Danio rerio: one gene and its partners. The protein of the gene in region 3 binds, or shares a complex with, the protein of the main gene of each other region. Links are inferred from orthologs where the notes say so. Each region holds a gene or a part of one and is shown on either strand. Other genes may lie near its edges.

Region 1 (6,360 bases), on a different chromosome or scaffold from region 3:
TGGTTTGTTCTGTAGACTATCAAAAAATATATGAAGAAAAAATATTATCAGACATACTATGAAAATTTTCTTGCTCTGTTAAACATCATTTGTGAAATATTAAAAAACGAAAAAATAAAAAACAATTTAAACGGGGCCTAATAATTCAGGCTTCAACTGTGTGTGATGTTAATAAAAGAAATACATCTAATAACTTTTTTGATGCATTTTCCCACTTCATTTACTAATGTCATGATATATTGTGGATGGTTTTCTTGTGATATATTGATCGTGATCTATCACAATCGGGAAAAACATCATGATAATGTTGTATCATATCGTAATACCTGGATATCTGACTACTTATTTCACTTTTATCTTTGCTCTATCTTATTTATTTATTTTTGCAATATCTTTGATTCTCTCCTCTGCAAGATTATTTCAATCAAAGTTAATGATTTCATTCCAAATAGAGCTATTTAAGTCATCTGCTGAAATTGTATTCATATAAAATATCGCAATGTTAGATTTTTCCAATATCGAGCAGCCTCAAAATACATATATACTGGGGTAAAGCTGGATTTATACTTGCACATTCTGACTTTTTGCTTAATAATATAATTTCAGAAAAGTATTATTTGCAAATTCTAAGTGGCGAAATCATTTTAGCAGCCAATGACTATCAAAGTACAGCATTGTTCACAGTCAAGTAAATAGTGCTGATGTTGTTTTGAAGTCATATGTAATTTCAGACCCAGTATTCAAATTAGCGTTGTAAACAATATTGAATGAATGTGAGAATAAAAAACCTACTTAACCTCAATAAATAATAATAAAAAAAATTATTAATATATATTTATATATATTAGGGTTGCACGGTTTATTGGTACTATGGTAGTGTCGTGATACTGTGGCTTCAAAATGGTGCCACTGTAGTTTGTCAACGGTAGTATCGTCATTAATGGTTTAGCTACAATAGATAATGTTGCATGTCGTAGAGACACTAAAATGCTCACACGCTTGTGGAACAATAGACCATTTTATTTTAATAGTCTGTGGAGCCCTTTAAGGTTGCAAAACAGTAGAATTTGCGCCTTATATGGTAGCCTATTGCACGTTTTCTCACGCTTCAGCTCAAACGCACATCGAGTCATTTCTGTTCCTGTTAATATAATTTAGTAGCTACAACAACTGCAACAATCTCTTTAAAAACACATCTCACAAAGTGACGTTTTGAATTACTTTGGATTGTTACCTGAAACCCAAAATAGCAAATAGTAAAGAATTTTGGACCACTTCATATAGCCTAATTTAGTTGGAAAAAATGCACTTTTGTAACAAATTTCATTTGGTATCATTTGTATCTTTATATTAATGTATTCTTGTTGGTCAGTTTATCTACAAAATAAACCAAAAGAATGAATATATCTTAGTGAGGTGCAAATAATACTTTTTGGCTTTAAAGTAATTATGAATTTAATTCAAGTAGGCCTATTATAACATAAAATATAGTATTTTTGACAATTTTCTTTTATTTTTGACAATTTGACATATAAATTACAGTATCACAATACTACTTGGTATCGTGATTCTTCAGCTGGTATAGTATTGTAGGATTAATTATTCATTTGGTAACAACCATATGTATATATGAGAAAAACTGCTTTACCATAAAATCAATACATAAATTGGTGAAATAATTGTTATAAATGATGCAGAAAAGATTGATCAGGGTTCAGATATAAATATACTGTTTATAGTATATTTATAATATACTATACTATTTAGCCCAGGCACAAAACCCATCAGAAGTCAATGGAAAAAAATGTGTATTCAAATATACATGCATCTGACTAAACATAGCACACATGCAGAAAAATGCTGTGTAATAAAATAATAATGACCAATGACTACCCAAATCTGCTAATCTCAAAGATGAAATATACAACACAAGAACGAACGGCTTGATTTTGCTGCAATCACTCTGAAACTATTCCTCTGCGAATCAAAGAAGCTACCAACATGAGGCAACAAAAAATACTGACAGACAGTCCAGCAATCCAACCTTGAATTTACAGTAGATGTTTTGGCTTACCCACACAAAATCAAGGCGGGACTAGAATACAGTTAACCGCGGTGCATTGTGGTATTTGTAGCACGCGCGCCGACGAGTCCCGACTGCTTCAGGGAATAAAAACTACATTTCCCCGCACTGACCATCAGGCAGCCGCGCTCCCATTGGCTGACCGATCCAGCCGCAGCCCCAGAGAATGAATGAAATTGAAATTGCTGCTATATTACATGTACAATACCGGGGATCTGCAGTCTTACATTGTATCATTCTATATCAAAATGGCCACAGTGGTCCAAAATCCTCTGAAATCGTAAGTAAAAAATATTTCTATTTTGATGCTTTGACTAATGCATGCCATGCAACAAACAGCGCTCGCTCTTATTCACAAATATGCAAACACCTTTAAAAAGTATAAAATGCCGGCGAGGCTCAAACTACCAATGCATGTTGAAATGCAATAAATCATAATGCATGCGACGACATTTTGTCATCTGGGCAAATGTGGCACGTTGTAAAGTGCAGAGTCTCGGGTGTCATTTCTGCATATGCACAGTGATATGGAGGAATGTTGAGAATGTTGACCCGGCGTCCCTGCTCGGTATTGATCACTAGGAACTTACAGTTGTTGCTAATGGAATCGCAGAGTTCACTGGTCACCGACTCTCTGGACAAACGATGATGATGATGATGATGCTCGAACATTTTTTTGCACACGTATGCGATGCCAAATGAAATGAGCATGCAGAAGACAACACTGGCTGTCTAGCTGCATACTAGCCAATGTTACAATTTAACACAATGTGTTTTAATGGTTACATCGCACGCGTTGATAACGTAGATTGTAGAAATGACATTGTAAATACGAAACATCAATGCTAATCCTGAAACAAACACATGTTTTAGCGTGACATTTTAGTTGCGCGTAACATTTGCTATGTCTGGTGCGCCGTTGCATCAATGCACATTCCGTGAAGTTTCCATTAGATTCCTTTGTGCACACTGACACATTTTTTCGGCGTGCGGCACGCAGACGCCACACGGGCTCAGTGCCAAAAATTGCTTTACATTCATCTGTTAGAGACGGGGACCTTCCGAGTGAGGAGACGTGTTTGTATTTGGCAGGAATATGAGACTGTAGCTTCAATATCTCATAAAGGGGCATAGCACTTGTGCCGGGTTTCCTAACCTGAGAGGTTGTATCTCCCTCCGGTAACTACCACGACTGCCTACCTTGACCCAGCACGTCTCCACAACGTTGTATTTTGGTCACAATTGAGCTCAAAACACACTTTAAAATGTTACCCAAAGGTAAAATCGTGTGTCTAAATATGTTTAATATAGTAATACGGTATCTATGTATTAATTTATCTATGATATTTGGAAATTTTTGAAGACTGATTTGGTGATCCATGGTCACATGTAATTGACATTGTGGATTGCACATCTTGTTTTTGTTGGATTTATTGTAAAAATATATACCTGAAATAAAGATTTCGCTAACAGCTTAAATGGAATATGAATAATTTTGGCTATAGTGGAACATATTTGAGAAAGACTGTTGAATTAGTTAAATTGTACTATTATATATATGAAGACTCAAATACATGTCTAAAGTAAACTTAATTCTACACAACATCCTGTTTATAAGCTGATGTATTGATATATTTCTTTTTGAATCAGTGATGGGACGATTAACCCTGCATGCTGTAACTAATAAAGAGAAAGCAATGCTATAACTAGTAGTAGACTTGCGCTACAGAGCTGAGGAGCCTGTACACCTACACGTTACACAATTCATGTGACCCAAAGCTAAAATCGTATGTCTATACTATATGTATAATATATACACATGGTATCTATGTATGTATTTATCTATGGTTTTAGATTAACACAATAAATAAATTGATAATATTGTTGTATACACATCACATAAGCTTTTTTGCATGATGGTGTGAGAAAATGTGCATGCTTTGAAAACTAATAACAGTGCACAGGACAGGGTTCAAGATTTTAGGTACAGTAAATAAGACTTTACATAATGATAATAATCTGAGAATACTAGTGTAATGTAAATGAATAATGTGTTACTATAGTGTTATTCTAACGTGTTATTAATGTGTTATTATAGTGCTTTAGTTCAGGTTTGCACAGCTTCAAATTATGTTTGGCAACTTGAGCTTGACAGGAGTGCAGAAAATATTAGGCCTACAATAACATTACTGCTCTTGTGTCTTTGTGTAGAATTTTATGCTTACTTTATCCTGTCGTAAATACAGACATTCTGAATGCATGGTGGAAGCCATTGGCGTAACCAGTCCTGGGAGAGTTAGTGCTAGATGACATTAAATTGCCATCTGTAGTACCCAATGTACACTGTGTACAAACATGGTATTCTTTGAAGTGTATATATATATATATATATATATATATATATATATATATATATATATATATATATATATATATATATATATATATATATATATATATATATATATCCTATTAGGGCTGGGCAATATGGCAAAAATGCAATCTCAATAATTATTTTATATTTATCTTATATTACGATATAAGTTGTTTAGGCTTCCAGATTTAAAAGAATACCCCTAACAATTACTGAAGCCACAAAAATTTAAGGGTCCATTAAATGGCATAATATATTTTTGGCCGATATATTTTTAGTGTCCAAAAATCTTGTACATCTCAACACACTTTTAGATTTCCATTGTTGCACATTTTTGCAGTGTGATTGGCTCCTAGATCAATATAGAGTAAAAAAGTCCATAGTTTATCATGGTTATTGACATAAATGTTATCATGATTCAATATAATATTGTTTATTTGCCCAGCCCTATCAACAATTCAGTACATTTCTATTTGCAAAACACTTTTAGATTCCCATTGTTGCACATTTCTGCTGTGTGATTGGCTCTTAGATCAATATAAAGTAAAAAAAGTTCAGAGTTTATCATTGTTATTGACATAAATGTTATCGCAATTGGATAGAATATAGTTCATTGGCCCAGCATTGCTGAAAATTCAATACATCTCTAATATCAGCACACTTTTAGATTTCCATTGTTGCACATTTCTGTGGTTTAATGGCTTGTTTCCACTGACTGGTACAGTACTGTACAGTTCGGGTCAGTACGGGTCACCTTTATCAGGCTTGCGTTTCCACTACCAAGGGTACCCTTTTGGTGGGCGTGGTGTATGACAGAAAGTTTCAGTCGACGTCATTTTCGCTCAAGAAATCATCTTTCGTTCACATATCATATGAGAAGCACTTCTCACAAAACAGACGCTTTATACACATAAATACTTCTGTATATATGTTTATAACTAACTTTTCCATCAACATGATTTGATTATAAATGCAGATCAATTACAGTGTCAAATAGTCCACTGTAAATCTGCTCTTTTTATTGGTATTGTGGCTGTTCATCAAGATGATGACAAGGTTTGTTTGAGCTCGGGTCGACCATGGCTCGTTATTATATGTATATATTATGCTGTAATCTCTCGGCTGTGTATTTAAAACATGGCAGTTCCTTTGTTTTCATTCTGGTTCGATTCGATATGCCTTTTGACAGTGGAAACGGTCATTAAAGTGTATTAAACTGTACCGCACCGTACCGTACCACTCATTGGAAATGGGCCATTATCGGCTCTTAAAAAATCCAGAGCTTATCATTGTTATTGACATAAATGTTATCGCTGTTCGATATAATATCGTTTATCATTCCAGCCCTATATCTATATTATATCTTCTGTTTCTGTGTTTTATATGTGGGTGGAGCTAGAAATCACTTAATACACTTTTCTTGCTGTGCCTCTCTGATTAATGGAATGTTCAGTACAGCAACATGGGTAATGTAGTTTTTTGCTCAAACAATGGTTTTGAACACAGCTGTTAAAATACAATAAAAGTGGTGAGACAGAGAGAAGTCTAATTATCACGTTTAACAACTATAGTGAGACGCGATCCAGTGGTACATCCTTGATAAACAGTTCGATGTGCACTGCTCACTGGGTTAAGACGCTGCAGCGCATGACTGAGTTTGTTTGTGTGTGTGTGTTCATGTGATGTGCGTTTTCAGTGGTGTGGACGGAGAGACCTTTTCAGAAATGTTGGATGAAACGCCATTGTGTACGTGGATTGTTTTCATTCTAATGCCATTTTAAAACTAGTATGTATTAGTGTAAACGGGGCCATGTGTATTTTTCGCAAGCTGGTTGCTGCTAAGTTGTGTGCTCCATAAGTTTCCATTTGTTTATACATGTGTTAATTCATTAATAACTTACAA
Region 2 (6,319 bases), on a different chromosome or scaffold from region 3:
TTATTACACATAACTTCATTTGTAAACTAATTAGGTTTGTTTTCCTTGCATACGTGAATTTCTTTCGTTGTTTTATAACATCCAGTGAAAATTTCAAGTCGACAGCACCTTTAGAAATATGATTTCTGAGAAAAATAGTGACGTATTCAATATTTTTCCCCCACTGTATCTTACATTTGAATTCATTCAGGTGATCTAAAGTCACTTTTGATCCATTTACTGAATAAAATTGCAGCTACATTCACAAAAAATATTATATAGAATAATACATAACTCACAGTCAAGCATGTAACATGTGTATACTCACTACACTAAGAGTGCTGACGTTGTACTCTTTAGTTATCCTCTGCCGCTCTCGCTCCTGGAGAATGACTGAATATTCAGCATGTTTGGCTGGATACTCTTTAATCATTAAATCGATAACTTCATCACTGCGCAGAGCTGTGAGACCTGTGGAAAAATTCAACTTCAGTTTAGTCTTGGACTGTAAAAAATCCTGGGTTCCACACAATTATTTCATGTCGTCCCATTAAGTTAACAATACAAATTTAAGTAGATTGAACATAAAACAAGTAAGTAAAAAAACCTCCAGAATTGTGTTGTTTCAGCTCATTCTAAATAAGTAGGCTGAACAAGAAGCAAAACTATGATTATGAACATCTTACCCAATGTACACTGTGTTTCAGTAATGACATTCTGCTCTCTCAGATAAAGTTTTTCCTTGTGAGACAGGTCTCTTCTTTCCATTTCTAGTACATGAAGTGGAATAGAATGAAAAAAAGACATGTTTACACCACACAACAAATCTTCTCTTCATAATTTAATCTGGAAATGAAACCCATTTGACCAAGCACATACAAATTCCTCAGTGCAATTTCACTCATACCTGGGTATTTGCGCTTGAATGACGTGACTCCCAAGTACTCGCTCACTTGTTCTTGTAACATATAATACTCTCCCGTGTCATCCGGAGGCCATTTGTATTCTGTCAGGTTTTCAGCAGGGAAGTATGTTGGTCTGTAATGAAACAGCAAAGGTCAAAACACACACATACAATCACATACACACATTCTCAGTCCAGAATTGCATGTGCAATATAAGAATTTTCCATTATTTTTCCTTAAAGTGCAATAAAAAACGTATACAACAAAAACAAATCATGTATCATTTATGATAAACCAATTATACTATTAATGTAAACTATTGCAAAATGCTTAAATGTTATGGGAAAACTAATTATTTAAGTTATTATTATTTTAAACTAGGACTGCACAATACATAATTTCAGCATCGCTTTCGCAATGTGTGAATATGACTATTGCAAATCGCAGGATAGTCAAGAGATTTCAAGTTGAGGTTTCATTTAAACCATTTGGAAACAAGAAAACGTTTTCAGCTTTGACTATTAGATTAGACTATATCTAGATTAGATATAAACAAATGCTATTTTAAGGAAGATAATGAAACCATATTGGTATATAGAGATAAATAATCATTTGTAAAAAAAAATGTATTGAGATGGAAAGTTGGTGATTGGATGGGTGTTAGCCCTATTGGGTAGCTTTACATGGACATAGAAAATGTTTAATTTGTTAAAAAAGATTTAAGAGCTACAGCACAATACTTCAGTGAATTTAAGACTTTTTAAGACCTAAAATGTTGTTTTTGAAATTAAAGAGATTGTAAGTCTTTTTAAACCCTACAGATACCCCGGCTGTGTGCCACACTTTTTTGCGTTTCTTTGTGTTTCTGATGAGATTACGTCAAACATTGAATATAAATGCTTATTTCAGAGCACTTCACAAGACGTTTAAGTTAATATTCTTAAGATAAAATGTCTCTAAACAGAAACACAAGTGAGGAATTTCAGCCTTATGGGGGTGACATTTGCAGGAAAATTTAAGCTTAAATTCACAGAGAATATACATCATAACAGTATATCAAAACATCTTTTTCAAAACAACTATCCACAGAGTTAAGAGATTAAAATATCAAACTGTAAGCTTACATTTACATTTAGTCATTTAGCAGACGCTTTTATCCAAAGCGATTTACAAATGAGGACAAGGAAGCAATTTACACAACTATAAGAGCAACAATGAATAAGTAAGTCTGTAAAGTCTAAGAAGGAAAGTATTAGTAAAGTTTTTTTTTTTTTTTTTTGAGTACAGTTAGTGGTATATCCAGAGAGGCAATTGCAGATTAGGAAGTAAAGTGGAGACTAAATAGTTGAGTTTTTACTCGTTTTTTGAAAACAGCGAGTGACTCTGCCGTTCTGATGCAGTTAGGGAGTTCATTCCACCAACTGGGCAGATTGAATGCGAGAGTTCGGGAAAGTGATTTCTTCCCTCTTTGGGATGGAACCATGAGGCGACGTTCATTCACAGAACGCAAGTTTCTGGAGGGCACATAGATCTGCAGAAGTGAGAGCAGATAAGAAGGAGCAAAGCCAGAAATCGCTTTGTAAGCAAACATCAGAGCTTTGAATTTGATGCGAGCAGCAACTGGCAGCCAGTGCAAACGGATGAGCAGCGGAGTGACATGTGCTCTTTTAGGTTCATTAAAGACCACTCATGCTGCTGCGTTCTGGAGCAGCTGAAGAGGCTTGATAGAGTCAGCTAGAAGCCCCGCTAATAGAGAGTTGCAGTAATCCAGTTTGGAGAGAACAAGAGCTTGAATAAGGAGTTGAGCTGCATGTTCAGATAGGAAGAGTCGGATCTTTCTGATGTTATAGAGTGCGAATCTGCACGATCGAGCAGTTCTAGAAATGGGGTCAGAGAAGTTTAGTTGGTCCTCAATCGTTACTCCAATGCTTTTCACCATTTTGGATGCAGTAATGGTTGCCCCATCCATCTGGATTGAAAAGTTATGGTGTAGAGTCGGGTTGGCAGAAAGCTATTTTATACTTTAAATGTGAAAAATAAACATGCGCTATAGATGCAATATTGAAAACAATAAACAAAAAATACTGTTTGAATTTTACATTTTACAGACATTTTGTGTATTTGTACAGTACTGAAAGGTCTTCACTAATTTGGCGTAAACCTAATCTCTGCATGGAATTGCTAAAATCCTAAATATATCATATTATATTAAATAAGTTCACTTTTGAGAGAACGTCTATTTACATAAATTATTTTGAAGGGAATTTACAGACCAGTGTCAGAAAAAAAACACCTGTAACTGGTGTGTGTGTGTGTGTGTGTGTGTGTGTGTGTGTATTGTGCTGACCCGAGCTCATGGGTGGAAGTGTCACAGCTCCTGGAACTGTCTCCTGAGCCCATCCTGCGCCTCTTGGGGGCTTGACTCCCATCACTGGAGTTCTCCTCAATGTCATCCTGTTTGAAGAGAAAGTCTGTCACATAGATTTCTGTATTCGCAGGCTAACATTAAATAAATTGAGGTCAAGTTTAATATTCGCACATTTGTTCAGTGGCTAATTTTGACATGCACCACAGTGTATCCATATTCTGATGGCTACTTCCAGCAGGATGACGTGCCATGTCATAAAGTGTGAATCACCTCAGACTAACACGACAATGAGTGCACTGTACTCAAATGGCCTCCACAGACACCATATCTAAATCCAACAGAGCACCTTTGGGATGTGGTGGAACGGGAAATTCACATCATGGATAAGCAGCTGACAAATGTGCAGCAACTGTGTGATGCTATCATGTCAACATTAACTAAAATTTCTGAGGAATATTTCCAGTACCTTGTTGAATTTATGCCACGAAGGATTAAGGCAGTTCTGAAGGCATAAGGGGGTCCAACCAGGTACAAATAAGGTGTACCTAATAAAGTGGCCAGTGATTGTTTATACCATGCCAATAAACTAAAAACGACTGTTCAAAACCATCTAGATAAGTCATTGCGGGTCCACTTTTCTGTGTTAATCAATTTACGAAATATTACTCGAAATGCATGGCCTGTTCAGCTACCTCGGCTAACGTTAACAGGCTAATGGTAAACAAACAAAGGCGAATGTACGTCACACTCACGCTGAAACTGTACAGGTGTAAGTACAGTTTTACATTGCTAGAGTGATATATCTGCAGCTTCTGCTAAGAAAAAGTAGTAAGTAAACATCACAAACCTTTATAGACTGGGTCCCAGGAGTTGCAGGATTGCTATCGCACGGTCTCGGCGATAGAACAGCTGCCATGTTGTTATTCTGCGAATGAAAGGGCGTCACATTCCGGCTGGAAACTAGCACAATGGGAACGCGACAAAGTGTTCCTATCTCTAAAAACAAAAAATTGAAAACTAAATATTATTTAATTGCACGTCTATTTTGGTAACTTTTTGGGACAAGGTTTATTTTAATTACAAACTATTTAAAATGTTTTACATTTATTTTAAAATTATGTTTTGTATTAAATTTAAAAATTTATTATTTTTATTATTTTTATTTTTAATTAATTGATAAGACATTTTAAATGTTTTTTTATTTAATAAAATTTGTCAATTATAAAAAAAAAACAGCGTAGGAGGCGGGGCTTGTGTAAAAAAAACAGGCTTGTCTTCTCGCGCAACTGTCTGGAACAGGAAGTGAAACCCTGCGCTGCTGTTTGAGTGCTAGAAGCACTTTGTTGAGAAAGTTCGGCTTCCTCTGACGGCTCCTCTGGGTCTCTGAAAGATGGACAGCCAAGGAAGAAAAGTGGTGGTTTGTGATAACGGAACAGGGGTACGTCCGCAACGCTAACACGCGACGTTTGTCTTGTCGAGCTTTTATTTCGAGTGACATGATAATAAGACCGATAGACCCCTAACAGGAAGTCATGAAAGCTTAGCGCAGCTATAAAGAATGTCTGACAGCTGCTTTCTCTGCTGTGTTATCTGACTGTGGCTTTATTTCTCTGCTTTATATCCAGCTTTCATTCTGCAGCAGACTCGATATCTCATATTCTTTCGTTAGGAGAGAATCGTAGCATGGCGTTGGTTGAATTAACTGCAAATGTCGCTTCATAATACAATAATAACAACACATTGACACAAATAATCGAATTAACTGCATGACCAAACCTTCAGAGCTCATTCTTGCAGCGATATGCTAGCAGCTTTCTTGCATAACATATTATTAATATGAATTTTGCGTTGCTATGGTTACATGCCATTCCCCATTCACTGTGAATGTTGCTGCCACTTGCTTTCAAACTATTTTTGCATATTACAAGCTATGGGTGATGGCACTTCCTCATCTCTCGGTTTCAGTGGATAGGAGCTGCACTAATGTTCAGTGATGCTCAATCCTGGTTAATCATTCAATACATTCTTTGCACATTAGAATAATGCTGATATAGTGAGCTCTGGAATTTCGCTGGTTTTGTCCTGACATCACAATTTTGGCGACGTCAGCATGTTTGAAGCTCAACTCGAGGTAGAAGAAGAAGTAATGTGAATGTTTTAATAATGTATTTTTAGTAAACAAACCAAGTCAGTGAAACAGAGAAGCATGAGTCAGAAGGAAGTGATGTCAAAACCACAGCCTGAAAGCATTTCTCTACATGTCGAATGACCAATGAACGAGCGTGAAAGCCTCCAGACCATTTTTGGAATAGTGTTAAGATGAGAAACAAGACATTACAGTTTTTTTTTATTCAAAGATCTGTTATAAACGATTCACACGAGCTGGAAGAAACAAGCGACTTAACTTCTTTCTTAATGTTCAGGAAGGTTTATTATCATTAGAAGTTTTGAGTAAAAAACTATTGTTCAGTGTCTTAAAGGGAAAGTCAACACAAAATGACCATCCCTTTTAAAAAGGTGTTTTAAAAAGTTTATTTTCTTCTGTTGAACACAAAGAAGACTAAGAATGATGGAAAAAACAACCATTCACTTTCATAGTATTGTATTTTTGATCCTACTACTATGGATGTCAATGACTGTTTTTTTTTTCAGCATTCTTCAGACTCCTTGTGTCTTGATTTGTGTTCAGTAGAAGAAAGACATTTGTTGAAGTTTAGAACCACTGGACTATAAGTACGATTTGTTTCTATTTTTATTTTGGGTGAACTATTTCTTTGAACAAAATGAGGGCTGTTCTCATGATCCTGGTCTGGAAAGTTGCTGGCAATTTTGCAGAAAAGGTTAAATGTGTGAAAGGGCTGATAGTAGTCGTCTAGTAGTACACTGGTCAATCACTTTATTTTCATAGATTTCTTCTTGCAGAATGTCTGATGAGCCTGGATTAAAACAAAAAGCTATGTAAGAGTCTGTGATGACGGATCATGCATAAACTTACAAAAACAATTGCATATAATTGCCATTTTACACTGTAAAAAATGCTGGGTTCCTTTAAACTTATTTTTTTTTT
Region 3 (6,261 bases):
GTTGTGGATAAATTTGGGGAAAACTCATGAAAAGATTTGGTGAAAATGTTCTCTGGTAAGTATTTCCACCATCTTGCCAACAACATGTCGTTGGTTCAATGGGATCTCGATAACTGCAAGTTACGCCTCTAACTTACTACATGTTACGTCCCTTCATCTTACGCCCCCGTCTTGCAGTCCGCAGACAGATACATTTGGGACTGGGCAATAAAATCTGCATCGATATTTATTGACCGAACAATTTAGTGTGCAATTTACCATGATTGCCTCGGAGTCGCCAATGGAAATAAAACAAACACACACAAGAAATACACGTACACCAGACATGAAGTTGGCCTGGACCAACGCACATTCTCACATTCATTTCATCATTAGTAAATCCAAACGTGAGCATGAAATCTGGAGTACGGTCTTTTCTTAGCTTAGTGTATCTGAGCTTTCTTTGCCACCATAATAAAGTAACGCTCATTGTTTATTTTTTCGAAATATCAATATTAATCTATAGTTACTGAAGCAAATCAGATCAAGATTTCTAAATCCAAATGACCGCTTGTGATACTGAATCTAATCTGGGCATCTGAATCAGTATCTAGCACTGGGTGCAACATATTTATGTTATTATAATGTTATTATATTTCATATTTTAACTCAAATTAAATGCATTTATAAGTCAGCAATCGAAGAAAATGTATTCGCTTGGAAGGAAACTAACAAAAAGGAGTAAAAAGAGAAGCACACAAGACCTTTTTTTTCCTGACAAAATTTTTTTATATGTATAAACAATATGTGTTTCCTTTATTAACCTTTATTTTAAACTGTATAACTTGCCAAGGTGTCAAGACGCTTAAAGTGTCATACAAAATCTGTCAAGAATGAATGGAAGGCTTAAAGGCTATCGGGTTTCTTGGCATCCCTTACAGTCTGGGCAGACCTTGGGATTACCCTGGGCAATCCAGCGCAAATGTTCTTCATGTGCCACTATGAAAGCATGGCTAATCTGCATGTGTGAAGGTCAGAACTGCTCATCCATACAGAGAAGCGCCTGCGGCCAAACAGCATCTGATCGCATAAGATGCAGAACTGGAGAACTGAAAGCGGGCAGCTTTAACCTCTTGTGGAAAAACTATACGAGGAAATCAGATTCACTTGAGTATTTGGCGACACAGATTCTGAATTATGGAATAACTCAAAACAGAAAATACATATGATCAGGTACATATGAAATATTTGATTTTAAGGCACCAAATGACTGCATTAATAGTTAAAGCAAAACAAACATTACCAGCATTTATTGTTTGACAAAGAAACAGCCTACAGCATTTAGCTGAATGAATATTAATTTATGCTAAACTATTCCAATAGATTCATCAGCTTTTCCTCTAGACACGCATAAAAACATATTAAGCAGCGAAGTCAATTTATCACTAAAATCGAACATGAAAACTAGTAACCTGAATAGCTTGAATGTATAATCCAAGGTGATAAACTATTGAAGCTACCTATAGACTGTTAACATCTGACTCAAAACAAAAATACTAGGATGTTAAGACATTATATTCATACTATTTTGGATATTATTGTTTTTTTACATTATACACAGCCTAGCTAGACAGCATTTTAGGCATCAGTATGCTGAAGTCTAGTGAGTCACCTACCTAGACAAATACTAGTTTAATGTTGTCACAAAACCCAGTGAGCTGCCTAGGTTTTGAAATACACCAGCCCGCCTTATCATATCTTATAAATTAAAAGATTTTCGTGTATAAAACCATGTACAGATAGCCTAAAGAAATAACAGCAAGTGAGTGTGAGGTGAATGTGAAAACATTAATTACTGCATAATGAAGTGAAGCCAGACGGGCGCAATGGCGCTAATACAAGCTAGCAATGCTAATCAGTAGCCCTGTGCTCTGAAAACGCCGTCTAGCACTTAGTTTCAGACAGACAGTGCTAACCGGTAACCATACGTCAAAAACGAAAACGAATTTTTATATGGAAAGAATCGTTAACTCAATTAGTCGCTTTATTCGAGTGAATAAAAAGCGTTAGCAGTGGGTTTTTTACTTAGTAGCAACGCAATGCTAGAATCTTCCATCATTGAACTGCACCGATCGAGATCTTTAGCGGAATCGCAGCCGATCATGTGTTCAATAACATGACACGGATTTAATAGTGATTATGCTTCATTGTTTTACTGTGTATACGAACATAAGCCGCGCTGCATATCCGGTTGCTGAAATAGGAATCTTTCTAAGCATATATGAAGTCTCGGTGCAGGCTAACACATGCTAACACTGTTAGCACAGTCACCTTGGGCAGAACTTGGCATGTTCTGCTGCCTGTCAAGCCACAGACAAGCCCAAAACTGGGAAATAACAAAGCCTGATCAACATCAGCATGTTATTTAACTGTTCATGCACGTCACGTGCATTCAATGAACGTAAACTAATACATTCCAAGCTGATATTAAGGGTAGCATCGGGCCACAGCTAGACCTGCATGCGAAACTTGAACACACACACATAAGGAAAGCTAAAGCGTTCACCTGGGCTCTGCTGTTGCCGTTGTTCCCGGGGCTCATTGCCGGGTGGTTTCTTTGTTGTGCTGCCCAGCTGTGGCTGGCAGCTGGGCTGTACGGGGAGCTCATGTCTTTGCCCAAACCCATACCCGACTGCTGCTGCTGCGATGGCGGGTTGCTGTAATCTTGATAGCCGCCACCGTATCCCCGCATCATCGGACTCGGGGATGTCAGGAGCTGGTTCAGGGTGGGTGTAGCTCCAGAAGGGTGCTGTTGGTTTTGTCCGGGAAACCTCTGAAAGCTCCCAACATTGGCACCAGGAGCCGGGGTGGTCGAGGCCATAGCAGCCTTGCCATGGCTAGCAGCAGCAGCGGTAGGCGAATTGGTACCTGGGCCCATCATGTTCCCCTGCCGCGACGGGCTCATCATACCGTATCCAGCGCCGCCGTACCCCGGCCGGTAGTTGGGATAGTGGTTGTACGGATTATTATGGTACCCTTCGTGGGAGTTCTGCACTTGATCCATGTTGCCCGGTGCCTGATGTATTAAAGCCGTCCTAGGGCTTTGTTGTCCGCCATGTTGATCAAAGCAAGGCCCTCCTCTTCCATTCCCGTAATAATTATTAAACTCAGAAACTGAGCTGCTCCCGCTTTGGGACGCGCTGCCTCCGCCGCCGCTGTTGTTGTTGTTGTTATTGTTGCTCGCTGGTCCAAAGTTGGAGTGCTCGTACCTGCTGCCCATTCGATCCCCCCCGGTTTTGGACGAGCGATCCTCCTCGTCGCCTGTGTTCAGCAAACGCGGATGGCGATCGACCTGCGCCTCCAGAGCGTCTTCTTTTCCTCCATGCTGCGGATCTGCGCGGTTGCTGCTGCTGTGGATGGTGATGGAGATGTTGTTGTTGTTGTGCGCGGCTCGCTGCTGGTGCTGCTGATGGAATGCTCGCGACTGTTGCTGTGGAGGTGTGCGATGATGAGGCGAAGGAGGGGGATCTCCGCGTCCAACATTTTTCACTTGATGATTCGCGACCAGACCCGTTTCCATACTCGAAGTCGCGTTTAAACGAGCATTAAAGTCTGTAGGTTTATTTCCCCCAGCGTCTGTGTTTTCGCAGACTCTATAGCCGCACGCTGCTGATGCCCATCTACATTATTCATTGGGGTAGCGCTGTGCCATCGTCTGCCCCATATCGCACAGTTTTCTCCTCATTCACGCCGGTATAGCTATATATATGTGGGCTTGCGATTTGAGGATGGAGCGTTCGCCACCGCTGTCCTGTCAGTGGGTGAATGTGTGCTGGGCACGAGCTGTGAAAACAATTACTGATGCGTTTGAGACGAAGACAAATGACACCAATATGCGTTTAACTGGTACTGCTCTGAGGCGAGCGGAGACTTCAACGCATTTTCGCAAACTGGAAAGTTTATTTCTAATATCAAACTTCCCCATTCCCACAGAGGCAAATGTGAGCGTGTACAAATGTGCGTATAAGACCCCTGCCGGAGCCCCTTTGCTCCAGCATGGCATTATCGAGCATCTCCTTCAGCTCTCTGCGCAGAGTCTGCTGGAAAACACGGCGCGGCCGGTTAACAATTTTGGATTTCCTCACATCACATTTTAATCAATCTCATCTTTATTAAACATAAGAGAGTTCATGTGACTGTTGGACCAGTGTTTGGACCAAAGGGACCCCCCCCCCCATAAAGTGGAAAAACTAATTATTCAGGGAGGTCTGTTTTTTTTTTTTTTTTTTTTTTTTCATTAAAACTTTTTTTTTTTTTAAATAAACTTTTATTTAGAAAAGAAGAAATGTACAATATAAATCAGGAAGTAATATGTAGGAGACTGGAACACAAGTACATACAAATACAAAGTGATAAGAACAGAAAGTAATAGAAAGAGAAAAAATTAAATAAAGAAAAGAAAAAAGAGAATAAAATAAAGAAAGGGGACAGTACAAAAGTAAATAAAAAACACAGAAAGTATTAAAAACTAACTTACTGGAAGCATGATATTTTCATAAGTTTCTATTAACTTGCAGAATTTTTGCTTTAAGCAAGAAATCAATTTCAATTAACAATTGGCAAATGAGGTAAAGGATTTCCGAAATTTTGTTTGTGGATACAATTTTTTGCATACCATATAAAAAGTAATATATATATATATATATATATATATATATATATATATATATATATATATATATATATATATATATATATATATATATATATATATATATATATATTCTTCATGGCGAGGCAGTGGCACAGTAGGTAGTTCTGTCGCCTCACAGCAAGAAGGTCGCTGGGTCGAACCTCGGCTCAGTTGGCATTTCTGTGTGGAGTTTGCATGTTCTCCCTGCCTTCGTGTGGGTTTCCCCCACAGTCCAAAGACATGTGGTACAGGTGAATTGGATAGACTAAATTGTCGGTAGTGTGTGAGTGTGTTGGAGATGGGTTGCGGCTGGAAGGGCATCCGCTGCGTAAAACGTGCTGGATAAGTTTGCGGTTCATTCCGCTGTGGCGATCCCGGATTAATAAAGGGACTATATAACAAATAATATCTTTCAATTTCAAAGATTTGTTTTGTTGATTGTAATTTGTTTAAATAAATATATAGATCTGACCAAAACTTGAGTAAGATTTTACATGTAAAAAACATGCGAGTCGAAGTTTCCTCATTTTCCTGACAGAAAGGACGAGTAACTGCAATATCAGTAAATTTTGAGATAAATGCATCGACCGGGTATATTTTGTGCAGAATTTTAAAATGGACTTCCTTTGCTTCTTGGGATAACATATTTATATGGGAGAAGCCATGTTCTTTTCCAGTCAATATCTTCTGTTAACGCTGACCAATACGATTTCCCTCTTGGAGCAGTTTGATTTTTTTTTTTGTTGGAGAATTCGAAGAGTTTGTTGTTGCATTTCTTATCATATACACTAATACCTTTTAATAATAAGAAGGTTGGTTCTTTTATTTATATATGAAATATGAATTTTTGTTAGATGTATTAATTGTTTTGGGCATTTTTTTAAAAAGGTTAAATTTCTTAAATGGGATTGAAAAATGTATGAATGTTCATAAATTATTCGTTTCATTAAAAACTAGGATAGATATAATTTTGGGGCATCGCGTCAAAGCAGCACCACACAAGATTTGTGTGCATTTTTTGTCACAATTTTGTAATAAACTCATCTAAATTAGTTAATTTGATTGTTTTTGAAGTTTTTATTTTTAAATGAAATTGAATCATGTGACGCAAACTTTTTTTTGTGGATGATTTTCATTTACAGATCACTGCATGATGCATTGAGGATTCTTATGTTCACCTTAAGTCAGGACGACAGTAAGATAATTGTTCTTACAGCTATAGTTGGCGGTTCAATCTGCTGTGGTGACCCCTGATAAATAAGGGACTAAGCCGAAGGAAAACAAATGAATGATTGTTTATAACCGCTGTAGTAAATTTACAGACTGAAAAAGCCTTTAACGTTCTGAAAAGTCACAAGGTTATGGTCTAGCGCAGGGGGGTTCAAACTCAGTCCTGAAGGGCCGGTGTCCTGAAGAGTTTAGTTCCAACCCTACTCAACCACACCTGAACCAGGTAGTCAAGCTCTTAAGCTGTGGTCACACTGGGCTTTTCCTCCCATGACTTCCATTCATACGCACGCGAATGGTCAGACCGGAAACACAGGGTCATGCGTCAAGTTTTGCAGGATGCTGCGGTGCAAAGGTCAAGC
Region 4 (6,329 bases), on a different chromosome or scaffold from region 3:
TAATAGTCTACACATGCACATATAGTCTAATAATAGACATAAGTCATCTAGATGTGTATATAACGTTATCATTTATTTGTTGACTTTATTTTCCACTTAATTAAATGTCCTTCTGTCTTCTTGTATTAATGAATTATGATTTCCAAAACCTGTAATTAAACAACAGGGCTACAGGTTTAAATATACAGACAGTCTAAAGCTTTATCAGGCGTATTTAGAACAAGAATCACTTGATGGCATTTAACACCTCTATTTATGGACCACGGCCCATATAACAGCCTATTTAATTAATTATAGATTTTGTATCGCGCATGTCGCATAGGTCTATATATTTCACTATATTACACCTATAAACCTGAGCCTACACTATTCTGGCTACTTGAGCAGAAGTTAAATTAATTCAAATGTATTCAAAGTACAATGTCAATCACAATGTCAGTGATCCTGCATGTCAGAATATTATTCACGGGATTTCTGTGGTGTTTTTCAGACTGTTTGTTCATGATAACGATTTTACTGAAGCGCATGACAGTCACATGCGCGCGCAAACACCGGAGCCGAGACAATCACGACGTGTCTGCGTGTGTGTGTGTGTGTGTGTGTGTGTGTGTGTGTGTGTGTGTGTGTGTGTGTGTGTGTGTGTGTGTTGGTTTAGGAAAAACCTGGATGCAGGTGTTTCCTGATAATACCACACACACAAACACACACACACAGAGAGAGAGAGAGAGAGAGAGAGAGAGAGAGAGAGAGAGAGAGAGAGAGAGAGAGAGAGAGAGAGACGCACACACGCGCACACACCTAGATTATTATAAATGAATCATTGATTATTATTGATTATATATCAATGCTAAACTGTTGATTGTTTAATGTAGTTTATTCTGATATATTATTATTTTTAATATGATATTTTCACTTATTTAATTATTATATCTATATATAATTTTTTATACTTCTACTACTGTTTGCTGTGTTTATTGTGTTTTTTAAATTTATATATGCATGTTCTTTTTTTTTTTTACTTTATAAATGCTTGGCAATACATTTGTCATGTCAATAAAGCGATTATTGAATTAAATTTAATTGAGAGAGAGATAATACAATTCAGTTCATTTTTAGTTGTATAGCGCTTTTACAATGTAGATTGTGTCAAAGCAGCTTCACACAGAAGATTATAGTAAATTGAAACAGTGTAGTTCAGTTTTCAGTGTTTAAGTTCAGTTCAGTTTAGCTCAGTTCAGTGTGGTTAAAGATTAGAGAGAGAGAGAGAGAGAGAGAGAGGGGGGGGGAAGAGGGAGATAGAGAGAGAGAAAAGTTAATTGCATAACAAATAATAATAATAATAATTGCATGACAAATGTTAAAAATGTTTCGCCAGAGCATTTATAAAGTTTACATTAAATTTAAAAAAACATACATATATAATAAAAAAGTTAAAAATAAAAAAATTATAATATATATATATATATATATATATATATATATATATATATATATATATATATATATATATATATATATATATATATATTCTTGTGTATCATATTCACATAGATCAATAAAAAATAGTAATATATCAGAATAAACTGTACATTTAACAGTAAACATTATAGGATAAAACAGTAATAAAATCAATAATAATCAGTATTTTTACAATGATTTACTTATAATAATTTACACACACACACACACACTTTCTCTCTTCTCTTACATAGTGTGACCGCAATAATCAGTTTCCACTGTTTCCTCTGAACAATTAATGTGGCAAATAAACACTTAATAAAAGAAACACTTTATTTTACACAAATTAATATTTTGCACCATATAGGCAACTGCTTTATTACATATTTATAATTTTTCTAGCCATTTATGAAACGATGCTTTATGAAATTAATGCTAAACAAAATTTGTCTGGATTTATTTTTTTGGGAAACTTGCTGTACTCCGTGCATATGATTCGTGCAGCTGTTTCCGTCATCTAGGATGCGAGATCATGAGAATAAATCAGCTTTACAATAAATCTGATATCATTGTGTTCCATCATATGATCAATTCTCGTATTCGTCATTAGTCTAAATAAACGGCGGGAATGTTCTGCAGCAGCACGTGACAGCGCGAGAGGCTACCGGACACTGGCCGGTTACCGTCAGCAGCGCGTGACCGGTGACAGCAACAGCGAGACGCGCGTGCGCGTGCAGGAATAATCGGTTCCGTTATTTCCCCATCATACCCTCAGTGAACCGAACACACGACCTCCCGAACACACCCGGTAGGAGCGGCGGGTCCGGATCAATCCTCACGCGATGAGCGGCGGCGTGTACGGCGGAGGTAAGAGCGATCCCGCATCACCATGACAACCGCATCCGCGAGCCGGCAGCATCAGCCTCAGCGACGTTACGGTACAGTGTGGGGAAACAGTGTTTACACGGTGCGACACGCAGGAAATACACGCTTTTACCATGGTGAATGTTAAAAGCGTGTCTCATCAGCTCCTCCGGACACTATGATAGCATGAGGACTTGCTCTTCCAAGTTGTAGACACTGGGGTGTGTTTAACAGCAAAGCACTAGCCATATTTCCGCTTCAGCGTTTAAAAGCTTGACGTTTAATTAATAAACCTGACTGCTGATTCTTCTTAAGATTCACAGGGAACACCAGAATAAACCCGTTACTCATCATTTTAATCATGCACTCTAAAAATGCTGAGATGTCAACCATAGGTCTAACATGGACAAACCCGACCACTGGGTTATTCATATTCCACTGAAAAAGACGCTGGGTTTGTCCATATTTGACCAAACACTGGTGATCATCTATTCAAAACACCTGTGTTAAAATGTCATGTTAAGAAAATAACTGAGCAACTTCTGCTGAAACTATTCTGCTTATCTAATTTCACACACACACACACACACACACACACACACACACACACACACACACACACACACACACACACACACACACACACACACACACACACACAGTAATATCAGATCAGATCTGGCTGATGGTTTATAATAGGGCTGCTGGCTGCACGATATATGGTCTCAGTATCGATATCACCATGTGTGCATCTGCAATAGTCACAACACACACACTGTCAGAAAAGATGGTAGGGGAGCGCAGGGCACAAAGTAACGCAGGGTTAAATGCAACAGAGTTTTAAGGTATTTGCTCAGGGTTAACCATGGCATGCTTCCAAGGTTTCACCACACTGTCAGCAGACGTCTTCCTGCCAATTCTTGAAAAAATTAGGCAAAATTTGGATGAGAAACACTACATAAACCATTTTTGCAGCATAAAAGTATTTTTTATTAAAGTCAATATTTTTTTATTTAAAAAAAAAACCTGTGAAAGTATGTCAGAAAAATCTTATATTGTTGTGATCACCGTCTTCTAAAAGATTAAACCATTTTGAAAGATGTAAAACACACACAGTGACTGCGAGCCAGTTTTGAGGAAAACATGACACAGAAGGGTAGTTAGTTTTAACGGTGTTACAATTAAGCCACACACTGTTGGACACCTATTAAACCAACAAAATATATATTTTTTTAATTTTGAGTGTGATGTTGAGAACTTTTTAAATAAAACAGCTTTTTTTAATATAACATTTTTTTATTTAATAGAAAAAAATATTTTATCGCTAATAATGCAAATAAATGCATTGTATAATAATGAATAAATAAATAATAATGCAAATTCAAATGTGTTTATCCAATAAACAAATAAATGAAAATAAATAAGCATACTGTGCTATGTAGAATAAAACAGAAATGAGCCAACTATTGAGGAAATATAGCTATATTATTTAAAGTAAACTCAATTTAAATTATGTGACGTAGTGGCGCAGTAGGTAGTGCTGTCGCCTCACAGCACGAAGGTCGCTGGGTCGCTGGTTTGAACCTCGGCTCAGTTGGCGTTTCTGTGTGGAGTTTGCATGTTCTCCCTGCGTTCGCGTGGGTTTCCTCGGGGTGCTCCGGTTTCCCCCAGTTTGCCCACAGTCCAAAGACATGCGGTACAGGTGAATTGGGTAGGCTAAATTGTCCGTAGTGTGTGTGTGGATGTTTCCCAGAGATGGGTTGTGGCTGGAAGGGCATCCGCTGCGTAAAAGCCTGCTGGATATGTTGGCGGTTCATTCCGCTGTGGCAACCCCGGATTAAAAAAGAGACTAAGCCGACAAGAAAATAAATGAATGAATTTAAATTAATTGTGAAATCTGCCTTTAAATGCATGTGTTACATCAAACTCCCTGTCTGTTACAATTTGCTCCGTGGGTGGGGTGAATTGTAACGTTTTTACTCCTGGCACTTTTGGCAATACTGCACAGAAACCACAGGTCTGGTGATCATAATTCCAGTGCTCATTTGTAGGAGAGGCTTGTGTGTTATTGGTAAAAAAACATGGTTTGTCTAACCCCATTACTTTGTTTATTATTTGGCCAAAACCAAAAAGTGTTACTTTGTGCCCTGCTCTCCTCTACAAACCCTTGACACTGTGCCTTTTTATGAGACAGAATTGTAGCGTAAGACAAAGAAACACATTTGTACCATTGCAGTTTGCACCTTTAAGGACGTCGTTTGTACCATGGGAAAATAAAATGTCCCTTTGGTTTTTAAAACCTGCAGATACAATATTGTAGCTTCATCAGAGGTACAAATCTGATCCATGAAGGCACTACTACAGTGACAAGACAAAGCAAACCGTAACTGTCAGATGTGTTCCTTCAAGAACTATTTAAAGGTGTTTTGCTTTATCCAAAATGCCTTAATTTATTCATTTATTTATTTTTTTGCCCAGTTAGTCCCTTTATTAATCCGGTGTCGCCACAGTGGAATGAACCGCCAACTTATCCAGCAAGTTTTTACGCAGCGGATGCCCTTCCAGCCGCACCCATCTCTGGGAAACATCCACACACACACACACATTCATACACTATGGACAATTAAGCATACCCAATTCACCTGTACCACATGTCTTTGGATTGTGGGGGAAACCGGAGCCCCCGAAGGAAACTGCCCCGCGAAGGCAGGGAGAACATGCAAACTCCACACAGAAACGACAACTGAGCCGAGGTTCGAACCAGCGACCTTCTTGCTGTGAGGCGACAGCACTACCTACTGCGCCATCACCAGACCTCAAAAGTATCAAATAATAATAACAATAATAAATAAACAAACAAATCAAATAATTTTACAAAGACTTCAAAAAGCATGACAAAAGTTAAAAAATGTAATAATTTCATAATAAAAAGTGTACAATCTCAGTGAATTAGCTACGTCAGTGGCGCTGATCAGTCCACAATAATTTAGTGGCTGAATATTATTCATTTATTCATTTATTGAAATATTGTGAATTCACGCAAGTACATTTAGATTAATAATATCAACAACTAAATCATATTGGGGTGGCCACAGGGGGTGCCCCTGATCTAAACTCTTCATAAATGTTTCCAGGGCCGGAGTGGGACTCCTTTTCAGCCCTGGAGTTTCAAGCCTTACGCCCCATTCACACGAGGCTTCAGCGTCAACACTTGACTGAAGGCATGTCTGAAGTATTTTGCATACAGTCTGTTTGTATTTGCATACAGCAATCTGATTGGCTGACGCTTCCGTCAGCGCTTGAAAAGTTGAGCTAGTCCCAACTTCTGCAGCGAGCAACGCCTCTGAAGCGGCCCCGACAGATCCACAATGCAGTTCGGCAACGCCTAATGTCAAAGTGAATGGGAAGCGTTGATGCTGACGCCCCGTGTGAATTGGGCCCACTTCAGTGCAGTATCTGAGTATATATTCTGTGCTAAATTCTTTATGGATATCCAGTCCTTTTTAACGGTGGTCACACACACACACACAAAAAAAAAATATATATATATATATATATATGTACACCTACATAAGTAACCCAAAGAGTATTATACAGTATATCTTAACAATAATAAAATAATAATAATAATAATAAGTGAAGTTTATTCATAAACTAATTTCGAGAGGATCACGTGATTATGATTGAACACGGCTGGTTTTGCATTAGTATGCATGATCCACCAATCAGGCCAATCCTAACCCACTATAAAGAGCCAGGGTTTCTCACTACAGTCATCTTCGATTTAAATAATCCCCCCTTCCACCCTTACCTCTTCACCTTTCCCTCCATAGGGCGACACGGTGGCCCAGTGGTTAGCACTGTTGCCTCACAGCAAGAACGCCACCGGTTCTAGTCCTTTAACAGGCCAGTGGTCGTTTCTGTGCATAGTTTTGCATGTTCTTCCCGTGCTTGCGTGGGTTTCCCCAGGTCCTCCGGTTTCCTCACACATTCCAAAAACATGCAAA

Evidence for each region. The genes of interacting proteins can lie anywhere in the genome.
Region 1: arid1b (region 3) and dpf1 share a complex: the UniProt entries of both Homo sapiens proteins name them as parts of the neuron-specific chromatin remodeling complex. The link is inferred for Danio rerio from reciprocal best matches to the Homo sapiens genes ARID1B and DPF1.
Region 2: arid1b (region 3) and phf10 share a complex: the UniProt entries of both Homo sapiens proteins name them as parts of the neural progenitors-specific chromatin remodeling complex. The link is inferred for Danio rerio from reciprocal best matches to the Homo sapiens genes ARID1B and PHF10.
Region 4: arid1b (region 3) and actl6b share a complex: the UniProt entries of both Homo sapiens proteins name them as parts of the neuron-specific chromatin remodeling complex. The link is inferred for Danio rerio from reciprocal best matches to the Homo sapiens genes ARID1B and ACTL6B.

Annotation. Positions count from the first base shown.
Region 1 is NC_133190.1:16,401,707-16,408,066, reverse strand, and holds the start of dpf1 (zinc finger protein neuro-d4), read left to right. Parts: upstream 1-2,175; 5' UTR 2,176-2,253; coding exon 2,254-2,363; intron 2,364-6,360. UniProt on the Homo sapiens protein: May have an important role in developing neurons by participating in regulation of cell survival, possibly as a neurospecific transcription factor. Belongs to the neuron-specific chromatin remodeling complex (nBAF complex).
Region 2 is NC_133188.1:6,007,597-6,013,915, reverse strand, and holds the start of phf10 (PHD finger protein 10), read right to left. Parts: upstream 4,186-6,319; 5' UTR 4,169-4,185; coding exon 4,100-4,168; intron 3,339-4,099; coding exon 3,232-3,338; intron 1,018-3,231; coding exon 887-1,017; intron 750-886; coding exon 666-749; intron 451-665; coding exon 308-450; intron 1-307. Other genes in the region: actr2b (actin-related protein 2-B), read left to right, coding at 4,643-4,690. UniProt on the Homo sapiens protein: Involved in transcription activity regulation by chromatin remodeling. Belongs to the neural progenitors-specific chromatin remodeling complex (npBAF complex) and is required for the proliferation of neural progenitors.
Region 3 is NC_133195.1:5,199,258-5,205,518, forward strand, and holds the start of arid1b (AT-rich interactive domain-containing protein 1B), read right to left. Parts: upstream 4,031-6,261; 5' UTR 3,560-4,030; coding exon 2,546-3,559; intron 1-2,545. UniProt on the Homo sapiens protein: Involved in transcriptional activation and repression of select genes by chromatin remodeling (alteration of DNA-nucleosome topology).
Region 4 is NC_133198.1:48,258,430-48,264,758, reverse strand, and holds the start of actl6b (actin-like protein 6B), read left to right. Parts: upstream 1-2,144; 5' UTR 2,145-2,300; coding exon 2,301-2,325; intron 2,326-6,329. UniProt on the Homo sapiens protein: Involved in transcriptional activation and repression of select genes by chromatin remodeling (alteration of DNA-nucleosome topology).